4 linked regions of the Ovis aries genome follow. The protein of the gene in region 3 binds, or shares a complex with, the protein of the main gene of each other region. Links are inferred from orthologs where the notes say so. Each region holds a gene or a part of one and is shown on either strand. Other genes may lie near its edges.

What was found.
Region 1: WRAP53 (region 3) and NHP2 share a complex: the UniProt entries of both Homo sapiens proteins name them as parts of the telomerase holoenzyme complex. The link is inferred for Ovis aries from reciprocal best matches to the Homo sapiens genes WRAP53 and NHP2.
Region 2: WRAP53 (region 3) and NOP10 share a complex: the UniProt entries of both Homo sapiens proteins name them as parts of the telomerase holoenzyme complex. The link is inferred for Ovis aries from reciprocal best matches to the Homo sapiens genes WRAP53 and NOP10.
Region 4: WRAP53 (region 3) and TERT share a complex: the UniProt entries of both Homo sapiens proteins name them as parts of the telomerase holoenzyme complex. The link is inferred for Ovis aries from reciprocal best matches to the Homo sapiens genes WRAP53 and TERT.

What each region holds. Positions count from the first base shown.
Region 1 is NC_056058.1:36,950,143-36,955,696, forward strand, and holds the start of NHP2 (H/ACA ribonucleoprotein complex subunit 2), read right to left. Parts: upstream 3,435-5,554; 5' UTR 3,387-3,434; coding exon 3,227-3,386; intron 3,149-3,226; coding exon 3,079-3,148; intron 600-3,078; coding exon 494-599; intron 1-493. UniProt on the Homo sapiens protein: Required for ribosome biogenesis and telomere maintenance. Part of the H/ACA small nucleolar ribonucleoprotein (H/ACA snoRNP) complex, which catalyzes pseudouridylation of rRNA.
Region 2 is NC_056060.1:26,485,730-26,490,065, reverse strand, and holds NOP10 (H/ACA ribonucleoprotein complex subunit 3), read right to left. Parts: upstream 2,205-4,336; 5' UTR 2,155-2,204; coding exon 2,101-2,154; intron 1,528-2,100; coding exon 1,387-1,527; 3' UTR 1,144-1,386; downstream 1-1,143. Other genes in the region: NUTM1 (NUT family member 1), read left to right, coding at 3,871-4,009. UniProt on the Homo sapiens protein: Required for ribosome biogenesis and telomere maintenance. Part of the H/ACA small nucleolar ribonucleoprotein (H/ACA snoRNP) complex, which catalyzes pseudouridylation of rRNA.
Region 3 is NC_056064.1:27,214,668-27,219,633, reverse strand, and holds part of WRAP53 (telomerase Cajal body protein 1), read right to left. Parts: intron 1,935-4,966; coding exon 1,846-1,934; intron 1,645-1,845; coding exon 1,554-1,644; intron 1,447-1,553; coding exon 1,314-1,446; intron 553-1,313; coding exon 344-552; intron 147-343; coding exon 43-146; intron 1-42. UniProt on the Homo sapiens protein: RNA chaperone that plays a key role in telomere maintenance and RNA localization to Cajal bodies. Specifically recognizes and binds the Cajal body box (CAB box) present in both small Cajal body RNAs (scaRNAs) and telomerase RNA template component (TERC).
Region 4 is NC_056069.1:71,192,813-71,197,778, reverse strand, and holds part of TERT (telomerase reverse transcriptase), read right to left. Parts: intron 3,463-4,966; coding exon 3,267-3,462; intron 2,238-3,266; coding exon 2,057-2,237; intron 515-2,056; coding exon 335-514; intron 1-334. UniProt on the Homo sapiens protein: Telomerase is a ribonucleoprotein enzyme essential for the replication of chromosome termini in most eukaryotes. Active in progenitor and cancer cells. Inactive, or very low activity, in normal somatic cells.

The sequences.
Region 1 (5,554 bases), on a different chromosome or scaffold from region 3:
TAACATTTTGAATTGGTTGCCACCATCTAAACTCATCAGACTTTCAAGCTGTGGTCCAGCGACACTGGGCCTACAGTTCCATAGGGCAATTGTGAAAGAGCTCCAGCTCAGTAGGGGCTGTCCCCTTAAGCAGGGCCTATGCTTTCCAGGGCCCTGCTATTCCCCACCCCTTGGAGCCCAGACCTGGCCTCTGCTATGTAAGGATAAGGACAGCTGCAGGTCCCTAGAACATCCCTTCTGAACATTGCACCCACTAACAGGACTGACACGTTCAAGTTCACCTTCTGTTTCATTCCCACAGTCCCATTTTACAGGGAAGTAGAAGTACAGAGAGGTGACTTATCTGCATTCCCTCATCTGGGAAGCAGCAGAGCCAAGAATCCATCCAGGCCTGTCTTTAGCTCCAGAGCTCATGCTGTTTGCCACTATGACCTGCTGCCACCAACCTGATCCCAGGCCCTCTTCTGTGCTGACCAAGATCAGGGCTCCTTACCGTCTTAGAGGGGATATAGACATACGGTAAATTCCGGTCTTCACACATAACTGGGAGATGGCAGTATACCTCAATGGGTAATGTGTCTCCTGCCAAAACCATAATCCTGAAATAAGAGAAATCACTGTCACTCCCAGCTTGCTGGTTCCCTTTTCAGTCATAAGGGAAGCCTCTGAGCTGAACCTTGGGGGTTACAGAGATGGGTAAACAGGCCCCTGCCCTCAAGGAGCCCCATCATATATGTCTCCCAAACTCAAGAAATGCATTCAGATTTGTTTGGTGAGTGCATTCCTCTGGGGAGGTGATCTCTGTTGCCTGGCAACAAGTAAATGCCACCAAGTGTGACAAAAGGTACTGTACCGGGACAGATGAAGTATGAGAGATGCTAAGGAGTAAGAGCTCAGCTTTCCTTGGACAATCAAGAAAGGAATCAGGAAAAACACTTTAGAGGAAAGCTGAATGATGGACATCTGTCAGGCAGCCCATGGAGGGGCTTTGTTGCTGCCAGTCACTAAGTCATGTCCTATTCTTTGTGACCCCATGGACTATAGCCCGCCAGGCTCCTCTGTCCATGGGGTTTTTCCAGGCAAGAATACTGGAGTGGGGTGCCATTTCCTTCTCCAGGGGATCTTCCCAGATCAGGGATTGAACCTGCATCTCCTGCCTTGGCAGGCAGATTCTTTACCACTGAACTACCAGGGAAGCCCATAGAGGGGCTGGGGGCAGGGAAAGCATTTAAGGTTGAGAGAATCAGAAAGATACCAGATACACAGGGGATGGCTGTTGTTGGGAGCCAGGGATGGCTTTGGAATCCAGGATGTGGAGATAAGGCTGACAAGAAGGCTAGAAAAACTAGTCACATGTAAGGGTCTTGAGTGCTTCAAGGCTCATTCCTAAGAGTGATAGGGAACCAAGGAAAGCTTGCCAGAGAATCTGTAACTATTCTAGCTGGCCAGGTGATGGGGTTCTGCGACAAGGGCCTCAGGAGCCCTGATGACAGCAGAAGAGTCTGTTCTAGGGGAGAGGAAACCGCAAGGAAAGAGCTCTTGGGTTCAAAGCAGTATGTCCACACTCCCTAGCTTTCCTTTGGCTCATAGACTCTCCTCCTCTGCAGGCTCCACTTCCTTTGAGTAGCCTTTGTTGTTTTTGGCCGTGCTGTGCAGCTTGTGGGATGTTAGTTCCCCAACCAAGGATGGAACCCTGGCCCGCTTGCAGTGGAAGCATGGAGTCCTAACCGCTGGACTGCCCAGAAATTCCAGAGAAGCCTTTCAATGCTGGTATTCCCACAGCCTGGTCTTTCTGCTCTGTCAGTACGTTCTCTCAGCTGACCCCATCTGTAACCAAGGCTTCAAGTGCCAACTGTATATTGACAACTCCCAAATCTATTCTCTCCAACCCAACCCTATCCCAAACTGAACACCCATATAGCCACCTGCCTATCTGATAGTTCTGCTAGGGAGAGGGTTTCCATGTTTAAAAGGCATCTTGAAAACTTGTCTAAAACCAGACTTGTGATCTCATACAAATCTGGCTCCCTCACTGTTCACTGTCTCAGTGAACCGGCCCTCTGTCCATCTGCCTGGAGCCCACACCTCCTCACTCTGTATGCAAAAGTCCTCTCATCCATCCACGTTAATTCTATCCATCTCTGCCATCAATAACCCAATCAAAATTGCTCTCATCTCTTCTGCACCTGAGTAGCCACCTATCTCAATTTCTCCATCTATTTTTCCACCTCTGATCTTTTCCAAAGTTGCCAGAAAAACCTTCTAAAGATGTAAACATAATTATGTCATCCCTCACTTTAACACTCATTGGCTTCCAAAACTCCTGAGTACAAAAACTAAACTTACAATGGCTTATTAGAGTCCCATGAGAAGGTAGCACTTCTATCCACTACCACCCTCTCCTGCCCTGGAATCTACTTTCTTCTGGCAGAATGCCCCCCAAACCTGGAAGCCACAAACGAATCCTATATCTTCAGACCTCAGCTACCCCACCTAGGTCAGACTCCATAGAGCACCAAATCCTCCCAGCATTATTTGGCTCCTGAGCACCTACAACGTACCAGGCGCTTCTGAAAATAAAGCAGTGAGAGGCTTTATTCTGTTCTCAAAAAGCTTACTTTCTGGCCTGAGTGAGAGAGACAGGGAACAAAAATGCAAATAGTTTTCAGATCCTGAAAAATGCCAAAAAGGAAAGCTGTAGGATAATGAAGTCATTCTCGCTGCACCCTGTACTTCTCCTTCATGCTTACCCATGACAACTTGTACTTTTGTGTGTATTTGATTACTGCCATTGTCTCCCCATAGCACAGTGCCTGAAAAACAGTAGACACTCGGTAAATCGTCGCTAAGTGAATGAAGCTGGGATCAATCCTAAGGAAGTTGGCTTATACGATTTGGTTCCCCTGGAATTCACCTTCCCCAAGGTGTCCCTTTGAGCTCTTGTAAGTGGTATCGACATCTGTACGGAAGGGAATGTATCTTCTGCATACGACCCAAGTCGGAGCACTTTTACCAACTACCTGTTAAGCAGCAGGATACCATCCTCGAAATCCGGCGGAGGGTAGGGGGGATTCTTACCCTTTCTCGCCTTTGTTGATAAATTTCTGAACCTCTTTCACCCCGCGCCGAATCTGCTTCTGCTTCACGGCTGCAACGACAGAACAATCAGTCGGAGGGGGCCTCGGCCTGCCACCCGCGTGCCGCCCCGGCTCGGCGTCCACCGCACCTTTCTTAATGCATTTGTAGAGCTTCCGCGTGAGGCGGCGAGAAGCCAGAGGCTGCGCGATGGGGTTCAGATTCACCAGCAGTTCATGGTAAGTGCGCTCCCCGCAGCACGCGTCCGCCTGAGCCTCCGGCCCGTCCGGATCTGCCTTTATTTTGGTCATGGCAGCGACTGTGGCAACCTAGCACTCAAGGCACAAGTCCACGTGGCCGGCACTTCAGAAATCACTTCCGGGTCATGCTACTCTGCGTGAAGAGGCAGTGCGACATAGCCAATTAGGAAACAGGGAGCGCCGAGAGGTGGAGTCTTGGCCGTAGGGGCGGGGCCACTCCCACAATGCAGGCGGGGCGGAAGCGATTTAGGGCACCAGTCGGCAAGCAAGCTGTGAATTTGGGCTAACTCGGCAAGATAGTGAAAGGCAGAGGAAAGGCGTGCTACAGTCCATTGAGTCGCAAAGAACAGCACACAACTTCGCGACTAAACAACAACAACGGAGGGCCTCTGAGGCGAGGGGCGAAGGCCGGAAGGAGGCGGGCCCTGGAGGAGGCGAAGAGGGACTAGGATCCGGGCTTGGGTTTGTGTGAGAGTTTAGCGTCACAGGTGTAGGCGGAGCAAGGAGGAAGCTGTACCTGTAGGGGCGTGACCGCATCTAAGCGGACTGGAGCCCTGCCTAAAGGGCGGGGTCTGCGACCAGAGTAGTGGAATGGGAAGTCTTCGGTGTGATTCCAAACCTCAGAATCTGATCCCTCACTTGGGCAGTTCCGATCCCCATCTCGTGCCAGGTCCTGAGTTGGTCCTGGGTGCTGTACCCTAGGTGCCAAGGTTAAGGTAAAGCCTGGCACTGCTTGCGATTTCTTCGTTCTAGCACGGTTCTCACATTCTGCTTTCTCTTTACTGGCAAGGGATGGAACCATTCACTCACTAAGCGCCTCCGTCTAGACCGCTTTTCTTCGGAGAACTCGGTACCACCCTTCCCGCAGAAATCTGCTCAGCTGTTAAACACGGGAGAGATTCTCCTGACCAACGTACCCCAAATTAAAGTTCTTTTTCTGCCTCCCGCCGGCATCCTCTAACCCTCTTGTTTTCTTCGTAGTTCCCGCCGCTGCCTGGCATCACACCCACAGAAGGCATGACGGAGACCGCTGAGAGGGAAGACAAGTGTGAACACGGGCTGAGGGTGGGGAAGTGTGCAGAGTAGGCGGCGCTTTTGCAGTTAACTCTAGAGGATTAATTGGGCTACCCTGGTGGCTCAGATGGTAAAGAATCTGCAGGCAATGAGAGAGACCCGGGTTAGATCCCTGGGTTGGGAAGATCCCGTGAAGAAGGAAATAGCAACCCATTCCACTCCAATATTCTTGCCTGGAGACTCCCATGGACAGGGGAGCCTGGAGGGCTACAGTCCATGGAGATCGCAAAGAGGCGGACACGACTGAGAGACTAACACACACATACAGTGCTGGGGAGGTCAGCAGGCCTAGACCGGGGTGGGTCTTGTACCTCTGACTTATTTCTTGTACTCTGTCTTGGAACGTTGGATGAATATTTGTTGTTATTTAGTCGCTAAGTCGTGTCTGACTCTTTTGTGACCCCATGGATATAGCCCACCAGGCTTTTCTGTCCATGGGATTTCCCAGGCAAGAATACTGGAGTGAATTGCCATTTCCTTCTCTAGGGAATCTTCCCAACCCAGGGATCAAACAGGCGTCTCCTGTATTGGCAGGCAGATTCTTTACCACTGAGCCACCAGGGAAGTGAATCATTGTTATACATCAGTTGCCTTTGATTATGTGGTGGTAGGCGGGCCATTTCCGTGGCACTGGAACAGGCCATAAAGTGGTACTTTAAAAGTCTGCAGGCGGCCTTGACGGCAGGGGACAGTTAAGCCAACTGAAAACCTGAACTTTTAACCCTGAAACCAAGTGCAGCCGTTACATAAAAAACAAGTACTCTTGTTTTCAGACTTTAAACTTTTTATTTGTATTGGGATATAGCTGGTTAAAAGTGTTGTGGTAGTTTCAGGTGAACAGGGAAGGAACTCAGCCATACATATACATGAATCCATTCTCCCCTAAACCCCTCCTCCCATGCAGGCTGGCACATAACATTGAACAGAGTTCCTTGTGCTATACAATAGGTCCTTGTTGGTTATCCGTTGTAAATATAGCAATGTGTACCTGACCTTCCCCAAATCCCTAACTATGCCTTCCCTCTGGCAACCATAAGTCGTTTTCTGAGTTTGTGACTGTCTTTCTGCTTTGTAAGTTCATTTGTATAATTTCTTTTTTGAATCCATATATAAGGGATGTCATATGGTATTTCTCCTCCGGCTGA
Region 2 (4,336 bases), on a different chromosome or scaffold from region 3:
AGTTAGTTCTTTAAATACTTCCTTAGCAGAACCTTTTTCCCTAGTCATTTGCAGAATTTCTAGCCTTTCTTCAAACATTAACCTCTAATAGGACAGGACAAGCTTTTACAATCTCTTTAATACTAAGAGCCATAAGTGAAGAGGCTAAGAAACCAAAAATTGCTTGACAGAAAATAAGTATCCCATCTCACCATTCTCATAAGTAATAGAACTGGAAATCATGTCTTTTATTAACTACGTATGACCCAAGTCTTTAGATTTTTCTTTTTTCTCTCAACAGTCAACTATTCTTTTCTGCTGGGACAGTCAGACATCAGCATCAGTGAGAAACATATTTACCCCTTTCCAGGGCCAGTCTTGATAAATCAAATTTGGGCTGATGTACGTTACAGTGGCACTAGGCAAACATTCAATTCAATGTCAAAAGCCACAAATAAGAAGTTCAGGAAGTACCCAACTGACTTAAGGAGAGGAAGGAGCAATCATTTCTTGAATGCCTGTATTTTGCCTCATCATCCCTATGCTATGAAGAAATTGGATTACAAATTTATGGTTGCCCCATGATAGAAGCTCATGGCCTAAGAAATCTTCCAGGATTAAAAGAAAACCCTCCAAGATATTTCCAGAGGAGCAGTAAAAATGCATAAAGACATTCCTATTCACAATGGTTGGATGAATTAAGATCTATCACTGAACTCTATCAATTTTAGAGGTGGAAGAGTACTTAGGAATGATGAGAAAAACGGAACTAAACAGGTTGACTTTCTCAGAGTTATAGAGGGGTGAATACTCATTTTCTGGCTTCCAATTCAACATCTTCCTCCTCCCATATAGCTGCTATTATTTTTCAAGCAACTCTTCCATTTTGAGTGAAATTTCATTTCAAGGGACAAAAAATTACTTAACTGACAACATGGGTATTTCTTACTTAATGCTAACAGTTGCACAAGTCTTTCTCAAGCTTTCTTCCCCTACCCTAGCACCCTGCTATGACTCACAGCACAGCACGACTGCTACAGCAGTCGCCTAAGTTTCTCTTCCAAGTGGTCTTGTATCCCTGGGGTACTCTTCCCTCTCGTTTCCCTCGTTTTTTTTTTTTTTTTTAAACCACTCCTTTCTTCCCACAACATACAAAATAACAGCTCTTTGAAATCATTTTAATAACCTGGCAGTGATTCAAAGTACGAAAATATTCAGATATCTCCCTTGGACGGGGATGCTACCATGACTGCTTCACAACAAGCATGATCGAAGGCAAAGATGAGACCGGACTCGAGGGGCAAGGGTCGGAGCAAGCTTCCAGGCTCACAGACTGAAGAGCCTGGCTGCAGAAAGTCTCTTGGGTGCTGGCAGGCAGCAGAAGACACATGAAATGTTAAGACATCCTCAGAGGACGGGGCGCGGCTGCTGGGTCATGAGCACCTTGAAGCGTTTCTTGATGGTGATTCGGTGTCGAGAGTATTTGTCGTCTGGGGAGAATCGAGCAGGGTGGGCCGAGCACGTCTGTTGTCCCATAGGATCAAGCTTCTGCTCGAGGAGGAAAGAACATAATCTCAGCACTGGAATGGTGGGAAAACGCAATCCCTGGCCTCAAAAGGGAGATGGAGGCTGGGATGGGGAGTTCAGTTCAGTCGCTCAGTCGTGTCCGACTTTTTGCGACCCCATGAACCGCAGTACGCCAGGCCTCCCTGTCCATCACCAACTGCCGGAGTTTACCCAAACCCATGTCCATGGAGTCGGTGATGAACCATCTCATCCTGTCTTCCCCTTCTCCTCCCGCCCTCAATCTTTCCCAGCATCAGGCTCTTTTCAAATGAGTCAGCTCTTCGCATCAGGTGGCCAACGCATTGGAGTTTGAGCTTCAACATCAGGGGCCGCGCAAAAACGGCAAACATGAAAACAGGAGACGCGACGGTAAGATCTAGAAGCCACGCATTTCTGCTTCCATTAATTAATACCACGCGCGGCTTCTGGAGTTTCTAGTCCCGCCCCCTCCCCCGCCCCCGCCCAAGCAGCTAGGCAACTCACTGTCTTCTCCCGACCGCTCCTTCCAATGACATGCATCGCTAAGCTGACATCCAGCCCGTTTACCCTTCTCACCTTCAGCGTGTAGACTCGCTCTCCTTGCTCGTTGAGGTAATACTGGAGAAACATGATCACACTAAAGCAGGACGTTCCAATTCTGTCCGCAGCTGCCTCTAACTGAAGGCCTCACGTGTTGGTCAATTTCCTTCCTGTACAGCCGGAAGTCTCGCTCTGAAAGCACGCCGGGAATTGTAGTCCAGTTTATCTAGACTTTTCTCCAGCCGGACAGAAGGAGGCGCACTAGCTCAGAACGTGACCAGTTGCAACCCAGTTGCAATCTTGTAGGAGTTGTACGACACGTGCAGTGTGCCCACTGTGGGCCTGGTACTGCTAGGGAGAGAGGGGAGTAGGGATGGATATAGATTAAACATAACTGAATACTATCCTGTTTTTATTTCAAGATGCACACCCATTTCAGAGGCAATGAGTTTCTAGTACCTGCAGAACTAAAGGCTCCAGGATCCAGAGCCTCCTTTACCTTAGGAAAGAAAGAAGATTTTCTTCCTTCCCCTATTTTACATCCGGTTCTCTCGCCCTGTTTCAAACATTGGCGGTAAAAATGCACGATGGGTATTCCATATTCTGCACAGCGAAAAGAGCGTGAAGTTATTTTACGAAACCGGTGAAGCATATTTTAGTGGTCGACCCAAGATTCAAACTCAGGTCTCTGCCACAAATTCAACTCTCTGTAGTGGTGAGTAGCTAATAATAGCGTGATAAGATGCGCCTCTTAGAGGTATGGCGAATTTTTAAAAGAACGTACAAATTCTCTTTATAGGATTCTGGTTTAAAGAAATGAAAATTGGAACCCAGATATCATTAACCGAGGTGACCATTGCGGTATGATTTATAATGGCGAAAAACGTTGGAAGATATATGCAGCTTTATAACCAGAAAAACCTTAAAGTTGGTTTTTTTTTTTTTAAGTATAGTTTGTGTTTGCTTGTAGTTGTATAAAATATCTCAGTGAGGATCCAGAATAAATCTGATTTCCTCCGGCATAAAGAGCTCAACTTGGTTCCAGAAGGAGTAGGACGGGGGGTGGACTTGCTGTGTACTCCATTTTAAATAGTCTGACTTTTGAACAGTCCTGATGTACTACCCATTTTAAAAATTAAAATTATTTAACAAAATTTAAAACCACAAAAATAATTTAACAAACAAACAAAAAAGACTTTTGGGTCTTGGAATTTTACTCTGAGTGGCAGTTTTTGATTAAGTGGGAAGCTTTTCAGCCCAGGGTATGGCTGAGCTGTTTGTGGACTGCAGAGGTGATGGTAATAGTCTATTTGGGAACTGCAAAACAGCTTTCTAAGGAAATGATATACATACAGCAAATCAGCACCCTTGATATTGTGAGACAACCCTAATTTGAAACATTCTGTTCACTTGATCCGTAAATATATAGACTATGTGCTTTGATTTTGGTTTAGAAAATACAGCAAACATTGAATTGTCAAGAGTTTGCCACAGTCTGCTGTTAATAGGAAGTCAGGTACAAAACTGGGTAGAATTGAAAGGCACAAAACTAGATATATTGGTGAAGAAGTGTATAGGGAACCAAGATGTGAAACTACGTGGTTGGGAATCTGAGAAATAATTGGCAAGTTGTCCTGAAGAGATACACAATTGTGTCGCCATACTCTGGTTTGGAGGGCATTCCTGGTTACTGCCTACATACCAGAGTCCTTTGTGGAATATCTCCCTAACTTCCCATTTCCCCCTCCCTTCCCCCCACTGTAGAATGATGCCTTGAGTTCTAGATTCTAGTTCTGTTTTGATCTGATGTTTACCCTCCCTTCCTTGGATCCCTGTGTTTCGACTGGAGTTTACTCTCTGGGTCCTGGACCTGCCTGTCTCATTCTGGAGGCTTCCAGACAGCCACAGTTAGTGCCCAAACCTGAGACGATGTCTTCAGATGGAGGTGAGCCTGCCGGTAGGGGAGGGTCCTCTGCCACCAGCTCCCTCTTTAGCGATTCAAAACTTGACACTTTACCTGGGGACGAGCTCTCAGGGCTGACCTAGAGGGATGTGAGAACACCAGACACCACCAGAGGCATCACACTGGGGGAGGAGATGGTGCTGTTAATACTAGGGGTTGGGGAAGGAAGGGGGCCTCCTAGGTGGCAGATCAGAGCACCTCTGAGGAAAGTGCTGAGTAGAGAGAAGGGATGGTAGTTAGCAACTTGCTTCTCTGGAAGAGGGTGACCTTCAGCATGTGTTTGTGTGGCAGGGGCAGGGATGTGTGTGG
Region 3 (4,966 bases):
GGGGCATCAAGGCCCCAGCAGAGAGGAGTGCCAGTCACTCACGGGTCCAGATCAAAGTAGATACGCTGATTGGTGGTCACCTCGCGGCTCAGGGACCACAGTGGGTGCCCAAGCTGCCGAAGATCCCAGCACAGAAGCTCAGCATCCTGAGAACAAAAAACAGGAGCCTAGAATCCACCCTCCACTCCTGCCTCCAAGACACATCTGCTTCCCTCCAGGGTTATAAGCACTCCTTTAGCTGGGTTGACTTTTTTCCCCCATGCCCATCTCCCAACACAGCAGACTACATCCCCACTCCTGCCTTCTACCCACTTGTTTTGGAACCTCAGAATATGATCCCCACCTTGCGGGCTCCGGAGAAGAAGCGATTGCCATCGGGGTGAAAGCAGAGGTGCGTGATGCCCCCTTGGTGTCCTCCCAACAAGGCAAGAGGGGAGCCATCTTCCCAGGTGTACAGGCCCAGGGAGCGGCCATAGGAGCCACAGGCGTAGAGGGGCTGGGTTGGGCTGAAGGCTATGCAGGAAATGATGCCACTCTGGCCCTGCCTTTTTGCTAGAAGGGGAAGGAACAACGTGGGGGAGAGGGCAAGAGTACCCAGCATTAACCAGGCTAATCAGAGGTGTACCTCTGTCTCCTGTCCCAGAGCCCAGGTGCTGGATTCAGTGTCCCCTACACCCCATTCGTTTTCAGCAGGATGAAAACTTCTGATGCTCCCTAAATCCTTCTATCCCCTTTAAAGGACCGAAAGATGCAAGCCCCACTTTCTTCCCTCTCAAATCTCAATTTTTCTTTTTTAAAAAAAATTCCATCTTATTTGTTTCCCCACCCCAATACCTAATAAGCATTCAATTACTGCTTTTGTATTTTCCTTTGACTGCACCACAAGACATGCAGGATCTTAGTTCCCTGACTGGGATCAAACCTGTGCCCCCTGCAGTGGAAGTGCAGTCTTAACCCCTGGACTGCCAGGGAAGTCCCCTCAATTTTTCCTTGGAAGGGTCAGAAAGCTAAGACTTATAGGCAAACGGAATCAGCTTCTCCAGTTTCTTGGAAAAACTAAAACTTTGGGAACCAAGAGGTAAAGTACCAGCAGGGGAGGGGCTCAGGAGTGAACCAACTCTTGACTAGAGTTTGATCTTGGGAAAGTTTTATGCCCTCCGTGAGTCTGCTTTCTCCTCTATCTACTGGGTACAACCTCCCAGGGCTGTGAGGGTAACAACCCCTCAACCCCCTACCTCCGCACATGACCACAGGGCCCCTCTGCTCTTGGCTGGGCCCCTTTCTCTCCTCCCTTGGAGGTGTAGACTGCTTACCAAACGTGGTTCGGACCTCGCAGTCTCGGCCGGGCCGGGATGTGGAGAAGACACGCACAGTCCGGTTAAAGCCACAGAAGAGCTGGGAGCCATCCGGGGAGAAGCAGAGCGAGTGGGCTGCTGTCAGCTCATCCTGGGGGAAGGGAAGGGCTGGAAACAGGCCTGGCGCACAGCCTCTTCCTTCTCCAGGAAGGAGAGCTAGGCCAGGGCAAGCCCTGGGGCTAGGCAGAGAGTCCCTACCAGGTGATTGTAGGAGCGAAAGGAAGCCCGGAGCTCTCCGGTGAAGGCGTCCCAGATGTGAATTGGGTTCTCCCTGCTGCTGCTGGCCACGCTGAGAGAGACATGGACACCGAGGCCCCGGTGCTGTCAAAGGAAGGGGAGGAAGCCAACTGACCAGCCCTCTCAGCTCACATCTGAAGGTCAAAGCAAGCTTCCCTCCTCCTGAGACCCCCACAGCCCCTGGCTGTCTCTCAGCAGAGGGTCCCCTTAAAATGGGGGTGGGGAGGGAAAGCAGGCAAAAGACATCACTTACTAGGAGGTGTCTGGCTGAGCTGAAGACATCAGGGAATACCAGCAGTAGTCATAGATGGTGTCGCCTTCCACCATTCGAAGGACAGGGGCCTAGACAGAGATGAGGAGATGCCTGGGTCACTGGTAGGACAAGGAGGCCCACTCGGACCTGGAGCAGGTTTATGGCAGCGGGAGACGCTCTGTGGGCACTTAACCAGGCAGGGGAAGGCACATCAGGCAAATACAAGAACAAGATCTTGATCTTCCAATTCAAGGCTAGCTCAGACTTTCACATCAGACTTGGGCCACTAAATGCCATACAGATTTATCCTTTTGCTTTGTCAACACTTAGAGAAACAAATAATACCCCAACCCAGAGACAAAGAACCAGCCAATGATGCAAATACCCACCAAGCCACCTACCAGGTGCCATTGGATCCTTTACAAAAGTTATCGACCAGTTCAAACAAGCAAAGAAGTATTAAAACAAAGCCAAACCAAACCCTGTGAGGCCTCCACTCAGCTTAAGAAACAAAATGTTTTACCAAACAGTTAAAAACCTCTTCCCAATGAAATCCTCCTTTAGAGGGAAACACTATCCTTAATTTATCATTCTTGTATATTTCTTTAGGAATATATTCATAGAGGAAAGACAATATATAGCATGGTCTTGCTTGCCTTTAAACTTAATATGAATGGTACCACGCTACATGCGTCCCATCGTGATTATGAGATTTATGGTGACAAACTTAGCTTGAATTCACGCATTTTCCCTGCTTCACAGCACTCCATTCACGCATCGTTCTCTATTGACAGTCACTGATGTTTTTCCAGTTTCTGGCAAGTGCACTTTAACAATCTGGTACACATGTGGGAGGGATTCTCTGCAGTTTCTGCTACTGAGGGAAACCACTGGGCTCCATAGTATGTGCTCTGCCAACTCTACGAGATCGTGTCACTTTTTTTTTCCAAAAGTGCTCATCCCAATTTATTCTCCCCGCAGCGGCATGTAGGAGCACCCATTGCTCTGCCTCCTCTTGCTGTTGCCAGACTCCCATATTTTTCTCAATTTGAAGGCTGTGAAATGGTATTTCATTACAATATAAACTGGCATCTCTCATTACCAGTAAAGGCACTTTTCCTTCTAAGGGCACCTTCTCATAGTTTTTGCTCAGTTTTCTCCTTGGTTGTTGTCTTCGACTTACTGACTTAAAGGAAATCTTCACATCAGCAGGATACGAGTCCTTTGTCCCTTACTTGCTGGCCCTTGGGGTGATGTCACCCAGCTGTGACTGCAGGTCCACATCTCCACTCTTAACCCTTGCATCTGACTGCCTGGAGGAAAGTTCCATTAGGGCATCGCACAGGCTCCTCAACTCAGTTTAGCCGGGACAGACCCAGCCTCTGCTGCCTCTGAATCTGCTGCTCCTCCTGGGCTCTGCACCCGGTTCTCAAGGCTGAAGTCTGAGCACCCTGACTACTACTCTCTTCATGCCCTTTCCTCTCCTGGTCCAATCCAAGGCCAGAGCTTGCCAATTCCACCTCCTAGGTTCACTTGAACATGTCTCCTTACCTCTGATTCCACGTGTAGCCACTACCTTCTTGCCAGCCCTGGCCTCCCTCCTCCCCATACTCTAACCTGCCACTCAATTTTCCATTCTTCAGCCACACTGAGGCCCTGGACTCATGTACCGCATCATTCTCCTGCTCAAAGCATTGCAATGCTTCTCCATAACCCTCAGTATAAAACCCAATCTTCTAGGAAGACTTCCCTTACCAGGCATCTACCCCACACCCACCTCTCCAGGCTCATCCCTCACCCCTGCCTTCTTTCCTGTAACATCTCCACACTCCACCATCCTGATTCCCAGCTCTGAGAAGATGCCAACTCACTGCATTCCTGGGCTGCAGGCTTTCACACACACTAGACTCCAAGTCTGGAACAGCCTTCCCTCATTTCCCCCAACAACTCTTCCTGGTCAAATCCTAGCCATCCTTTGGGTCTCTCAGATACTTGTCCCCATGGGAAGCCTCCTCCTGAACCACGTTCCAAATGCCTTCTGTGTCTCCACTCTGCAAAAGGCAGGAATCATGTCTGTCTTACTTACCACTGCTTCCCCAACACCTACTGAGGAATCAGCACAATCAGCAGTCAAATGTTTTAATGGGCAAATGGAAACAGAAGACTGTCCCAATAACATAAGGCCCAAAATAATAGCACCTTGAATTAAAACAGAGTGAACTGGATAAATTAGAAAGATCAGGCGGACTTGATGGGATTTGGTAATTAATTGGATGTGGGGGTTAGGAGAGGGGGATTAAAGGATGAGACCCTGCTTTCTCGTTTGGATACCTAAGGTCACCAAGATGGTACAAAGACATGGCATGCAGAAGAGAGCTGAGGTGCCAAGGTACTCAGCAAGTCAGGGAGAATCAGACAGCCTAAGCCACAAAGGAACAGTTTTTACAAAGCAGAAAAGCAATTGTCTGGATATAGCATTTGAGAATGAGGACACCCCCTCCCCAACCCGAGATATGTAGGACACAGAGGTTGCACAGTCTCCCCTAGAGAAGGTACAGGAAAGGGAAGGCCTCAGGCAAGAGCCACAGGGTAGGCAGAGTATTCAGGGAAGAGGGGGGGACATAGAAATAGGAGTTCCAGAAAGCTCTGTGAAAAGGTAGAAAAAGGAGGAGAGGAGTTGGGAAACTGTGTTGAGAAGAAGCAGTACACAGATGCACAAAAATACCCCCAAACCGTCCCCCACTTTCCCCACCTAAATAAATGTTATCCATTTCCATACCAAACTTTCAGACGTTAAAAATGAAAATACCATGCCTCAAGGCCAAAACACCAAAACATGAAACAGAAACAATAATGCCACAAATGAAATACAGACTTAAAAAAGAAAATAGCTAATAAGTGAGGTTGTGATAGAACTGGTATACTCATACTGCCAACACCAGTAATAATAATAAAAAGAATAAACAGCATAAAAAGCTTTTGAAAACAAATTGATTATTGGTATTACAAGACATAAAAAAAATACTGATACTCTCCGACCTAGGGTATTTCTTATAAAACTTCTCTGTTTCTCTGAAGAATCTCCATCAAAACACATGGAGATGTTCACTGAAAAATAATT
Region 4 (4,966 bases), on a different chromosome or scaffold from region 3:
GCATCCTGACGACCAGGGCACAACACAGGGCAACCCGCCCAGGGTCCGAGCAGCTGTCTCCTTCCCTGGAGGGAGGGCAGGAGCCCCGGGGAAGTGGGGTGCACTCCCAGAGTACTCCAGAGGCACAGAGCCTCTGCCCCGGGAGCTGGGCCCCTGTCTTGCAGCTCACAGAAGCTGAGAGTCACGTTTAACATGGACGTGACCCCACCAGGGGTGACCCATCCTGGCACACACGGGGCTGTAGGAGGCGGTCACTTCCCACATCAGCTGGACCAGACCCACAGGGTCACCTGCAGCCCTGGCTCTCTCCACAGGGGTGGGGATGGGCGCCCACCTTGACGAAGTAGAGCGGAGGGGCTGGGCCCCGGGCCCTCAGGGGCAGCACGAAGGCCCTCCAGGCCCTGTGGATGTCGTCCATGCCCAGCACCGAGGCCCCCAGGAGGCCGGGACGCCGAGCTCGCTCGTAGTTCAGCACCGCGAACAGCGTCTTGACCCGCGAGCTGAGATGCTGCACCTGCGGGCCCAGCCCAGACGGGAGTGTCGCCAGAGCAACTATGGCCAAGGGGACTCGGGGTCAGACAGCCCCAGGGGTCATCCCCAAGGGGACACCAAGGGTCAGACAGCCCCCAGGCACCGTCCCCAAGGGGACTCGGGGTCGGACAGCCCCAGGGACCGTCCCCAAGGGGACACCAAGGGTCAGACAGCCCCCGGGGGCCGTCCCCAAGGGGACACCAAGGGTCAGACAGCCCCCGGGGGCCGTCCCCAAGGGGACTCGGGGTCAGACAGCCCCAGGGGTCATCCCCAAGGGGACACCAAGGGTCAGACAGCCCCAGGGGCCGTCCCCAAGGGGACACCAAGGGTCAGACAGCCCCCAGGGCCGTCCCCAAGGGAACACCAAGGGTCAAACAGCCCCAGGGACCGTCCCCAAGGGGACACCAAGGGTCAGACAGCCCCAGGGGCCGTCCCCAAGGGGACACCAAGGGTCAGACAGCCCCAGGGGCCGTCCCCAAGGGGACACCAAGGGTCAGACAGCCCCAGGGGCCGTCCCCAAGGGGACACCAAGGGTCAGACAGCCCCAGGGGCCGTCCCCAAGGGGACACCAAGGGTCAAACAGCCCCAGGGGCCGTCCCCAAGGGGACACCAAGGGTCAAACAGCCCCAGGGGCCGTCCCCAAGGGGACACCAAGGGTCAGACAGCCCCCAGGGCCGTCCCCAAGGGGACACCAAGGGTCAGACAGCCCCCAGGGCCGTCCCCAAGGGGACACCAAGGGTCAGACAGCCCCCGGGGGCCATCCCCAAGGGGACTCGGGGTCAGACAGCCCCCAGGGACAAGGGACAGGTCCCTGCTCTCTGCTGCCCCCTGCCCACCAGCCCCCCTCAGACCCCAGAAAGACCATATGGCCAAGCTGTCCACACCCACTTCAGACCCCGGGTCTCCCCAGGGACCCATCCTCGGATCACGGACACCACTTGTGGAAAAGGCAAGCAGCCAAACCCTGGGTCCCTCCCCTCGCCTGGTCCCCCCACCCAGCAAAAGGGACGCTGCCTCTTGGGGGACACCCCCACAGCGGGTGAGCCATGCGTCACTGCTCATGGACAAGCCCCCACCAACAGTGACGGCTTCTCTTTGTCACTAATGGTAGAATCACCCCAATCACTCCAGGGGGCTCTGGAAGGGGCAGGAGCTGCTGGTGACGCAGGGATGGCGGGGGGGGCGGTGTTGGGGGACAGTCACAGGGGCCAAGCACAGGGGTGAGTTCCTGGGGACCCCAGCAGGCTGGTAACAGACGTCACATACCCCTCTGCCCGGCATCCCGAGAGCACAATGGCCCCCTGGGGGATTCCAGGAGACGGGGGCACAGAGGGGTCTCGGAGCCCGGCTGGCACCCTGCAGGACAGGCCTCACTGGGAGCTCCTTCTCTGGACCTAGGAGTCCTCTGGCCATGCCCCCTGGCTCCTCAGGACCTCACCGCAGCCCCCAGACACCCCGGGACTTTGGGCACAGCCACTGGGCCTGGGTTTCAACGCGCTTGGCCCAGAACAACGTGAGCAGCGACCTTCTTGTCTCTGGGCGGCGCTGGGGCGCCCTCGACACAGCCCACGTTCACGATGGGCCGCAGCCCGCCGGGCTTGGGGACGAAACGGAGCCTGGACGTCAGCAGGGCCGGCCTGGCCTCCTGGTGCTGCCTGACCTCTGCTTCTGACAGCTCTCGAAGCCGCACACGCTCCAGGTGTTGTCTGAAACAGAGGTGCCCGCAGGCAGCCAGGGCAGGTCAGCCTGGTGGGTGCCCGTGCCCGTGCAGTGGGCAAAGCTCATGGCCGGCATGCCCGGTTCCTGGTGGACAGAGCTCAGACCAGAACTGGACAGGATGGCTCGCTGGGGAGACCCTGGGGTCTGGAGTGGGTGTGGGCAGCTTGGCCATCAGGTACTTCTGGGGTCTGAAGGAGGCTGGTGGGCAGGGACCCCACGTTCTCCTCCTGGAACAGGCAGGGGGTGCTTGGTGGAACCCCTGGGAGGAGCAGAATCGTCTCCCCACGGACCAGCCGGTTCCTTGTCATCTGTAAGCTTCAGCCTTCACCCCAAAACCATCCACAGGGATGGGCAGAGGTCCTCCCACCTCTTGGCCGTTGCAGGGAGTATGCTCCCTGGGCTGGTGGCCCCGAAGGAAGCCCGTGGCGGGACTCGAGCGTCCACCAGGCGGGGGACAGGCCACAGGGGCCCCACAAGAAGAGCTGGGCTGCCCACTTCAGTTTACATGTCAGGAAACGCTTGAATCGGGTGCCTTCATTCAGACCCACGGTAAGGGCCTCAAGAGGCTCCCCAGATGCCAGAGGACACGGGCCCCGGCCCACGTGCTCAGGGACCCCGATCCACTCCTGACTCAGGGACCCAAGCCCATGTACTCAGGGACCCCGGCCCACGTGCTTGGGGACCCCCACTTAGCTCCTGACTCGGGGACCTCGGCTCCGCCCCGACCCAGAGCACCTCCCTCGCTCAGACGCTCAGCCAAGATCTCTCGCAGAACGCCTGGAAAGGCCCAGCTCTTATCTCAGGTGGCTCCCCAACCCGTCCCGGCTGGGTCCCTGTCCACTGACAGCCACCCAGGCCTTCACAGAGGACACAGACGGCAGGAGGGGACAGAGCTCATGGCTGCCGCGCGGGCACTCAGCCCCTGGGGAGCCTGCTTCACGGTGCCCCCAGTGCCCCCGGCGGCCGGCGCAGACAGGCGGGTCCGTGCGTGCAGGCGCGGGTGTCCCCCCGCGTACCTGACGCCCAGGCGCTGCAGCTGGCTCCAGACGCGCTTCCGGAAGAAGAAGAGCCGGTTCTTCTGGAACGTGGTCTCCGTGACGTAGAAGAAGCCCCTGAGCAGCTCCACCACGTAGGCGCCCATCAGCCAGCGCAGGAAGCGGCCCAGGACGGCCTCCCGCCGGCGGTGCTCTGCGGCAGGCACGCGGCAAGCCCCTGGGAGGAGAGAAGCCGGTGCTCGCCCTCCACGCTGCCCCCGCAGGCCGGGATGGTTGCCCACGGCCTCCGAGTCCACAGCGACTAGGAGCAGGGGGCAGAGAAGGCGGGTAACTAGGCAAGGAGCCTCCCCAGATCACGGGCTAAAGTGATGCTACCAGATCGCTGCACTTTGATAGAAAATGTTTTTAAATGAGGTTCCCCTTTCTTTTTCCTCTTGCGGCTACTGGAAAATGCTGAATGAGTCATGGCGCTCACGTATGCTCCTGCCGGACAGCGTGGACCCAGAGCCCCAGCACTTGTCACTGCGCACACAGACTAGGGGAGCCGGGGCTGCTGTCCCCGGGGTGGGGGGGGATCAGGGGGGCTGCGCTGCAGTTTCAGGCATCACCACTGGGCCGCAGGGGCTGGAAATGCCCGGGGGGTTGCAGGCTGAACACGAGGGGCACGTAGAGGCGGCCCCGAGTGCTGAGGAATGCCCAACGCTGCCGGCTCCGGACACACGCCCCGCGGGCCTCTGTGGTTTACGCTGTGCCACAGGGGCCTCAGCGCTGACAGAGCCAGGGCCTCACCGGCAGAAACCGGGTCAGAGGACAAGGAAGGGGGCCTGGAGGCGGCCTGGGGCAGGACGGTGAGTAGCCAGCGAAGGAAAGAGGAGGGGGTGAAGCCACGCCCACACGGACTGCGAGGGGCCAGTGAGAGCAGGGCTGGCTGAGCCGGAGACAGTTCAGCTGCGATCCGATCCCAACACGCGAGGCTACGGCTGGAAGGAAGCCACCCCGAGGGCGACGGAGAGCACACAGCTAGCTCTAGACGAGACACCCACACACACACGTGAAAAAGTGCACACCGGGAAACGGAATAAGAACGCAGGAAGAGTGGCAAATTGGGAGGATGAGAAAGACGCGCCCAGACCGGGTCAGCACAGAGAAGTGTAAGGCCAGGGGAGCCACACAGACGGTCAGACGGGATCGGACAGACGCGCAGAAGGTTGGCTCAGGGCCGCGATACGGCACCTACACTACGCGTGCTCACGGGACAGGAGAGGCTGAAGGTAAAACCCAGATAAGGGCAAACAGCATGAGCAGTAAACACTGGCGAGTGGGGAGGCAGGGAGACAGACTTTAAGGTAAAGAGAGTCGCTAGACACTCGTGGTGGCAACCCACTCCAGCGTTCCTGCCTGGAGAATCCCAGGGACGCGGGAGCCTGGTGGGCTGCCGTCTCTGGGGCTGCACAGAGTCGGACACGTCGGAAGTGACTTAGCAGCAGCAGCAGCAGACACTCAAGAGCAAAGCTGACTCATGAGTCAACGAGGGGGCCAAGCCTGGCTCCAGCTCTGGGTGTCAAGCTCTCAGGACTTCAGGGGTCAGACCGGGGAGCGCTCGGAAGGGGCTGGTCCTGCTGCTCCTGGCTCTGCCCGCACACGTGCTGGGCGGTGGCTGCATGGGAGGAGCCCCACATCACACCCAGACCACCACACAGGGAGGGGCCCCAAAGGCCCAG